Linked DNA regions of Saccharomyces cerevisiae S288C. The gene in region 1 interacts genetically with each later gene. Each region holds a gene or a part of one and is shown on either strand. Other genes may lie near its edges.

The links. Genes that interact genetically often act in the same process or in processes that back each other up.
Region 2: mutations in FRA1 (region 1) and RRD1 together harm fitness more than expected from each alone (negative genetic interaction), as found in Saccharomyces cerevisiae (2 studies listed by BioGRID).

What each region holds. Positions count from the first base shown.
Region 1 is NC_001144.5:79,680-84,817, forward strand, and holds FRA1 (aminopeptidase P), read left to right. Parts: upstream 1-1,781; coding exon 1,782-4,031; downstream 4,032-5,138. Other genes in the region: mannose-ethanolamine phosphotransferase GPI13, read right to left, coding at 1-526; RRT7 (Rrt7p), read right to left, coding at 677-1,018; polyamine transporter TPO1, read left to right, coding at 5,125-5,138. UniProt on the Saccharomyces cerevisiae protein: Involved in the regulation of the iron regulon in responss to decreased mitochondrial iron-sulfur cluster synthesis.
Region 2 is NC_001141.2:53,433-56,879, reverse strand, and holds RRD1 (peptidylprolyl isomerase RRD1), read right to left. Parts: upstream 1,683-3,447; coding exon 501-1,682; downstream 1-500. Other genes in the region: VPR1 (Vpr1p), read right to left, coding at 1-335; IMP21 (Imp21p), read left to right, coding at 1,859-2,899; GUT2 (glycerol-3-phosphate dehydrogenase), read left to right, coding at 3,172-3,447. UniProt on the Saccharomyces cerevisiae protein: PPIases accelerate the folding of proteins. It catalyzes the cis-trans isomerization of proline imidic peptide bonds in oligopeptides.

The DNA of each region.
Region 1 (5,138 bases):
TAAGAAAGTTATCCTCTTCGATTACTGTTCCATCGAAGTTAGACCCGGCATCAATGAAAGTCGGTAAGGACCCTGTTGTGAGACCCTTGAGTCTTTGTAAAGTAGTGGTTGGTGGGTCGGCAATGAACTTCAACAATAGGGAAGATGCATCCTTATCGCTTGCAAAAGAATCATACAATGATAATATATTATTATGATAGTTCAAGTTGTAATTAGAGTGGGATTCGTTTACAGGAATAGCGAAATCAAATCTCAAAGCGTCAATAACCAAAATCACCGCCTTGTTGAACCTAGGAGGTAACTTACTCGTTTCGTTTTGTGAGGAAATATTATCAAGAACGTGTCTTGACAGTAAGAATCCCCGAGTGAAAAAAGCTATTGATATGAATTGTAAAATGGCGATGAAAACCAATAGAATAATATAAAATTTATGATTCTTTTGAAATTTCTTTATTCGCGATTTGTATATTATTTTTTCATCATTGGAAGATGAAAGAATCGACTTTTTAATTGTCTTTTCATCCATATTACGGGAGCTTTTTTTTTCCACTTAATGTATTGATCTTCCTCCCGTTCTTTGACGATTCGGCGTTGCCCTTAAAACATATGCTTCTATTCCTTTTTTGATCTTACCCATTTATTTGTTTTTTTTTATTTTCCGGTGGACAACAAAATGTTAAAGGAAAAAAGAAAGTACCTTGCTCGTCATCGCGCTTGCATAATGTGCGCCATTACCCTGTAACAAAAACAAAAGATAGAGTGGCAACAACTTGACACAACTTTGCAATTGTACCATGAACCCCAACAAGAAAGGCGGTTGAGAGTAAATGATGTGGTTTGGTTCCTTTTTTTTCCTACATTTAAGGTTCATAGAGAAGAAAATTTTCTGAAATGTCTTTTCCTCTTTTAATGAATTGTAAAAAAGCCAGTATTGGAATAATATTCTATTCAATATAGTAAGAAAAGAGGCAATGGGCAGAAATCTTCTCCCGCATAATCCTTTAAATGCAAAATACATGTTAGGCGTCTAAATTTTTTTCAGTGAATCCAGATGCAGAAACATTTAAACAATAAATATCTTAAACCCATTTTGAAGCATCGGCGGCTAAAAAAATGATTTTGCATGGAAAAAAATGAGAGCTGTGAACCCAATAAAAAAGACAGCTTTTTAAAAATGTATAACGGTACATTAAGCTCTTGTTTATTCCTCAAACTGCTCCTAAAAACCATCCTCTCAAAAATAATAATGATAGCTGAAGATTATCTGCCACGAAATGCCATTGAGCCGCTTACTTGTAGGTTTTCATGAGTAATAACGAAGATAATTTACCCGTCTTTATAACCCACGTAAAAATAAACATATAATTATTTCTTATTATTTCAACTAACCGTTAAAGTGTTCAAATATGGTAGAAAGCTTTCCCTATGTGCATTATGATTATCTTTTAGCCGCCAGAGTTTAGTTTAATTTTGTTTTGTTTTTGACGACTTCTGGTGTTACCCGAAGGTATATCCCCGGGTGACCCCTAAAAATCGCACCCCATTTTCCCGAATTTTCTTCTACGTTTTCTTTTTTCAGAAATACTTCGAATGAGGGATGGAACAAGAAGGAAGCGACATACAAAAACTGAGTCAGTTTAGTCTTAATAGGTGCAATATTTACAAATACAGGAAAGGCAGGAAGCACTGGCAAAAAGACTGCATAGCTAAAAAAAAAAAGAATAAAAAAAAAACGGAGACCTCAACAGAGCGAAACCAATAATTACAAACAAAATCTTCATATGACTTCGAAACCATCCACCAGTGACGGCAGGGCTCACTCGATTTCCCATGTACCTGGCACGCACATGAGAGGAACATCGGCATCACACAGCCCCAGACCGTTTAGGCCATGTGCGGATTGTACGTGTTCTCCAGGCTTACTGTCTAGGCAAGGTCGTAGAGCCTCTCTATTTTTAAGACAGTTAGAAAATTCAAGGAGGTCCTCCAGCATGCTTCTCAACGAGTTGAAGGGCGCTGGCGGAGGTAGCAGTGCTGGAAATGGGTCTGTTTACTCATGTGACTCTCTATGCGCTGTTAACAGGGAAGTTAACACTACTGATAGATTGTTGAAGTTGCGTCAGGAGATGAAGAAACACGATTTGTGTTGTTATATTGTGCCCAGTTGTGACGAACATCAGTCCGAATATGTATCATTGCGAGATCAAAGGCGCGCCTTCATTTCAGGGTTTTCCGGATCGGCCGGTGTAGCCTGTATCACCAGAGACTTGTTAAATTTCAACGATGACCATCCGGATGGGAAATCCATTTTGAGTACTGATGGAAGATATTTCAATCAAGCTAGACAAGAACTAGATTATAATTGGACACTTTTGAGGCAAAACGAAGACCCAATCACTTGGCAAGAATGGTGTGTCAGAGAAGCTTTGGAAATGGCCAAGGGACTTGGCAATAAAGAGGGAATGGTGTTGAAGATAGGTATTGACCCAAAACTTATCACTTTCAACGACTATGTTTCTTTTAGAAAAATGATTGACACTAAATATGACGCAAAGGGTAAAGTGGAGCTGGTTCCCGTGGAGGAAAACTTAGTTGACAGTATTTGGCCTGATTTTGAAACTCTACCTGAAAGGCCTTGTAACGATTTACTACTGTTAAAATACGAGTTTCATGGTGAAGAATTCAAAGACAAGAAGGAAAAGTTACTGAAAAAGCTGAATGATAAGGCTTCCTCTGCGACGACCGGTAGGAATACTTTCATAGTAGTTGCGTTGGATGAAATTTGTTGGTTGTTGAACTTGCGTGGATCCGACATTGACTATAATCCAGTTTTTTTCTCCTACGTGGCTATTAACGAAGACGAAACCATTCTTTTCACCAATAACCCCTTCAATGATGACATATCGGAATATTTTAAGATAAACGGTATTGAAGTCAGACCTTACGAACAGATATGGGAACATTTAACAAAGATAACTTCGCAGGCTTCTTCTGCGGAGCATGAATTTTTGATTCCTGATAGTGCATCGTGGCAGATGGTTCGTTGTTTGAACACCTCAACCAACGCTAACGGTGCAATAGCTAAAAAAATGACTGCACAAAACTTTGCGATAATTCACTCACCCATCGATGTTTTGAAATCTATCAAGAATGACATCGAAATAAAAAACGCACACAAGGCGCAGGTCAAAGACGCAGTATGTTTAGTGCAGTATTTTGCATGGCTGGAGCAGCAATTAGTGGGGCGCGAGGCACTGATAGATGAATATCGTGCCGCAGAAAAATTGACCGAGATTAGGAAAACCCAAAGGAACTTCATGGGCAATTCCTTCGAAACAATATCCTCCACAGGTAGTAACGCCGCCATCATACATTATTCGCCGCCCGTAGAGAACTCTTCGATGATTGATCCTACCAAGATATATCTTTGCGACTCCGGTTCGCAATTCTTGGAGGGTACAACTGATATAACAAGAACAATTCACTTAACAAAGCCAACCAAAGAAGAAATGGATAATTACACACTGGTACTTAAAGGTGGCTTAGCCCTAGAGAGGTTGATTTTTCCCGAAAACACTCCCGGGTTTAATATCGACGCCATCGCTAGGCAGTTTTTATGGTCCCGCGGGTTAGATTACAAACATGGCACAGGCCATGGTATCGGATCATTTTTAAACGTTCACGAAGGACCCATGGGTGTCGGCTTTAGGCCACATCTGATGAATTTCCCCTTAAGAGCGGGTAACATAATAAGTAACGAACCAGGTTATTATAAGGATGGTGAGTATGGTATCAGGATTGAAAGCGACATGTTAATCAAGAAGGCCACTGAGAAGGGTAACTTCTTGAAATTCGAAAACATGACTGTGGTTCCCTATTGCAGGAAGTTGATCAATACTAAGTTACTAAACGAAGAAGAAAAAACACAGATTAACGAGTACCACGCAAGGGTATGGAGGACAATAGTGCATTTTCTGCAGCCTCAGAGTATTTCATACAAGTGGCTGAAAAGAGAAACAAGCCCACTATGACTTCGAGGCGAGCGGGGCGCAATACAATTAATGTTAGTATTTATTCTAAGTAGTTTCTTTCTTTTTATTTAATTTGAGTGATAACAATAACAACAATAATGACTAAAAGGTGAAAATTGAAAACATTACCTTCATTTTTTTACGGCCGGAGAGGGGTAGGTACACTTAACCCCGAGCGCTTTTAGTGCCAAAAAGAGTTAATGTGCGTAGTCGGATTTTAAACGACCATGCATGTACAGCCCCCTAGTGATTTATACTGATGCCTCATCAAGAAATTTTTTCATCCAGGGTCCCTGCTCGGCGAACCTTTCCGCAAGAGTCACAAAAATCAATCTTATAACCAGGCACCAGTAGTACTGCCAAGCTTGGACTACATAGCCAACGTAAAGACAAGGAGTCTGATTTAGTATTTCTTTTTTGCCAGCCAGTATTTTCTGCGCAGGATAGATTATTTTAAGAGCCGAGAATTCCTTATGCGGGCCCGGTCACAACGGATTATAGGTTCCGCCAGACCCCGTTGCTTTGGTTCCATGGAGCAGGAGCAGGATTTTCCGTGGAAAGAGAAGCACCGAGCGAAAAGCGGATACGGAAGGCGGATGCGGAAACGGATGCGGACGCGGAAGGAAGGAAGGAAGCAAACCCTTCCGTCTATGTCGCTATGAAGCCGTCTCACAGTAGAGCCATTCGAGATTTCCGTCCGTCGGTACACAGAAATCTTCGTATCGGGAGTTTTACTTTAAAAGGAAACGATCGTAGGAATTCCCTAAAGAAAAAGGAAGAAAAATTTAACGTTGAACATTGTCATTTTCTTTTTTTTTTTTATGTGTGCAGAATATACTATCAAGTAATGTGTTCTATATATAAAGGGTACCTCATTTGATCTTGATGTTTCTTTCTGCTCGTATGCCTTGAGTCACCAGTTTTCAAAAATAATCTTGGTCTATAGAAGAGAAAAATCCAATAATCTGAAATTGGTTCTTCGCACCCTTGCAACGAGATCATATACTAAATATCGGGAACTCTTTATTTCTGGATCTTTTATCAGTCACTTTTTTTTTTAGTCAAAGAAGCAAGAGAAAACTAGACAGAGACAATGTCGGATCATTC
Region 2 (3,447 bases), on another chromosome or scaffold:
GTCCACTGCGACTCCTGAACCAACTGTCGCAGGGGAGGCGTAGAGTTTTGTGATCGGATATTCTGGCGCTGCTGCTGCTGCTGCTGCTGCTTATGATGTTCTTGTTTCAGAACTAGCAATGAAATGGGCATATGATTACCGTCATGTTGCACGTTCGGTTGCACACTTGATTTCGATAGTATTTCTGAGAAACTGTTGGTGCTTTGTTGTTTTAAAGGGTGATGAGGTCGCCTGGTTGGAGACCAGGATATAGAGCTTAGGGACTGCCCCGGGGGGTGTTGTTGTTGCTGCTTCTGATCCTGATATATTACCAGGCCCCTTCTCTTGTGACTCATTTGCTTACACTGTGGCGACTTTTTCCACTTCTTTGTTTATTTGTATTACCGCTTCCTTTTCCTTTTTTCATCTGATTATATGCTTATATATTGTAGACGCAAGTAAAAAAGAACGAAAATAGAAGTCATAATGCTTGTCATACACATTTATATGTTTAATTAATATTATCTACGTAGTCTATCTCTTGAAAAAGAAGTCTGGTTCCGGTGCGACTGGTTTTGATGGCTTAGTAAATAGTTGATATTGTTACCTGACGGCGGAACGCCTGGGGGAGGCATTGACGTGGACGTTGGGAATCGTGTTGAAGTCTGTTCTCGACCGGGCGATCCTGCGTTAGCCTGTTCTATACTCTCTTCCTCCTTTTCTTCAAAGACTGGAAGATCAGTGCCGTTTTGAATGTTGACCCAGGGAAAGAAGCCTGTGCCGAACCAGAAATGTTGCACCACGGGGAACTTCTTCAGAACCTCTACAGAATACATTTTTAGAAGCCCCTTACACACTTTGGACCAGCGTGGAACGGTGACGGCAATATCGTATAGGATGGGGGAATGCTCTTCAAAGGGCCCCATTTTCACCTCATTAATAAAGTTTATGCCTTGGCAGTAGAAGTTGGTGTCCTTATACTCGCGCACCAGAGACTTATCCAGTATTTCTCTTGGTTGCAAGGGTGCTTGCGCATCAAGCAGCTGCCATTGAGACGAGCCCAAGATGTACACCAAGTGGAAATGGTCATCAAGCCCCCACACGCCATGTGACCCAGCGGGCTCCAGCGTATACGTCAGGATCAGCCTCCTCATGATCGTGTAGTACTTGTTGAACAGCAGAAAAACGTCTGCCCCCCTCATGTGCGGAAACATCCCCAGCATGTCCAGTGCTGCGACCGTGGCCATGAACGAAAGTTCGTGGCCCGTGCCGTAGTCCAATCTTGTCGACGAACCAAAGCTGTTGCCCAGGTAATACTGCAATTCAGGCACCACCTCATGGTATTCCGAGGGAAGCATTTCCTGCAGCCACTGAGGCAAACGTTCATCCAGCTTGTGATGCCACTCGCGGCATGCTAGGTTACCATACCTTCTAGGACCTGGAAGAGGCGGTGTCTCGTCGATCAGGTGTGCCAGCTTGTCCAACACTCCCATCAGCCCGTTAACCATGGCGATCGACGACGCAGTAGCGTGCGGGTCGGGGTCAGAACAGTGCGATATCAACGTAGTGTACTTGTGAAGATGATACTTGATTCTGTGAATGGCTAGTGACGATTGGAAGTCCAGCGTTGTCTGCGTATCGAAGATACGCTTCACCGGCGTAGAGAAGGTGGCGTGCGGCCAATCTACACGATCCAGAGACATTTCTTTGCTCGTTTAATGCTTGTTCATATGTGCGTTCTTTTGCACTTTGCACTTTCTTCCTATTTTATCTTTTTAAGAAAGCTTTAAAGGTCCGGAAAAAAGGCTTGATCAAACACAAGAGACTATGGAAAGGGTGAGTACCAAAAGAACCAACAAGAGAAACAACCAAGTACGCAATGCAGAAGAGCATATTGCTGACTAAACCTGACGGAACACAATCGAATCTACACAGCATCAAAACGGAAACGCCCACCACGGTGGAGTTCGACTCGGAGCAGATGGAAAGGGGCCACAGGGAAAGAGGTCGTAGCAAGAAGAAAAGAGGCGAACGAGACTCAAACGTGAGCAGTCTGTCGCGGTCGAGAAGCAGGGCCAGTAGCCGCAGCAGAGTAAGGGAGGAAGAGTTCCTCAAGTGGACCGTGTTGAGGCAGGACCCCTCGATGCGGTTGAGGGTCGTGGATGTGGATTCTGAAGAGGAAGGTGAGGGCAACGACGAAGATGACGACGACGGCGACGGCGACGATATGGACGAGGAAGAGTCCGATGAAGAGCAAGTGAGCGATATAGAGAACGATTTAGAGATTGACGAGGAGTTCCACTACGATCTGGGCATGAAAGTGTTACCCAACTTTTGTACCAGCATAAACGAAGTGCTAGACTCCAGCAAGCCCTGGATAGCCAAGTACGAGATCAGCATCCGTGGCCACGAAAACGAAGACGTGTCTCTGGAGCAACTCGACGGAGGCTACGTCAGAGCCATGCAACTACTCACCAAGGGTGCCGGCGCAGAGGCCGGGAACCAAAGGTCCTTCATCCTCTACACGGACCTGAGCAGCGAGTCCACCTACGCCCTGACCTATCTCATGGGCGCAGCTGTCAACCAGGGAGACACCGTCTACATTGTCCACTGGGAGCCCTCGAAGCCCACGGACGACTCCCAGATGTTCGCCAACGTTGCCAGAATCAGAAAGCACGTCATGCACCTGTTTGACTGCGTCGCGGGCGTGCTCGACGACCTCGACGTCGTCGTCCTCTCCTTGACCCATCCGTACCCAAAACACCTCCTCAACGAGATGATCCACGGCCTCAAGCCAGTCGCCCTGTGCTGCTCCCTCTCGGTCATCCTGTCCACTCTGCAGAACTTCGTCTGCTCTGTGCCCATCCTCGCGGTTAGAAAGAAGCTGAAACGTGCCAAGCGCAAGGGCATCAGCGAGTGACCAATAATCACTGCACTAATTCCTTTTTAGCAACACATACTTATATACAGCAACAGACCTTATGTCTTTTCTCTGCTCCGATACGTTATCCACCCAACTTTATTTCAGTTTTGGCAGGGGAAATTTCACAACCCCGCACGCTAAAAATCGTATTTAAACTTAAAAGAGAACAGCCACAAATAGGGAACTTTGGTCTAAAGCAAGGACTCTCCCTCCCTTATCTTGACCGTGCTATTGCCATCACTGCTACAAGACTAAATACGTACTAATATATGTTTTCGGTAACGAGAAGAAGAGCTGCCGGTGCAGCTGCTGCCATGGCCACAGCCACGGGGACGCTGTACTGGATGACTAGCCAAGGTGATAGGCCGTTAGTGCACAATGACCCGAGCTACATGGTGCAATTCCCCACCGCCGCTCCACCGCAGGTCTCTAGACGAGACCTGCTGGACCGTCTGGCCAAGACGCATCAATTCGACGTGTTGATCATCGGTGGCGGGGCCACGGGGACAGGATGTGCCCTAGATGCTGCGACCAGGGGACTCAAT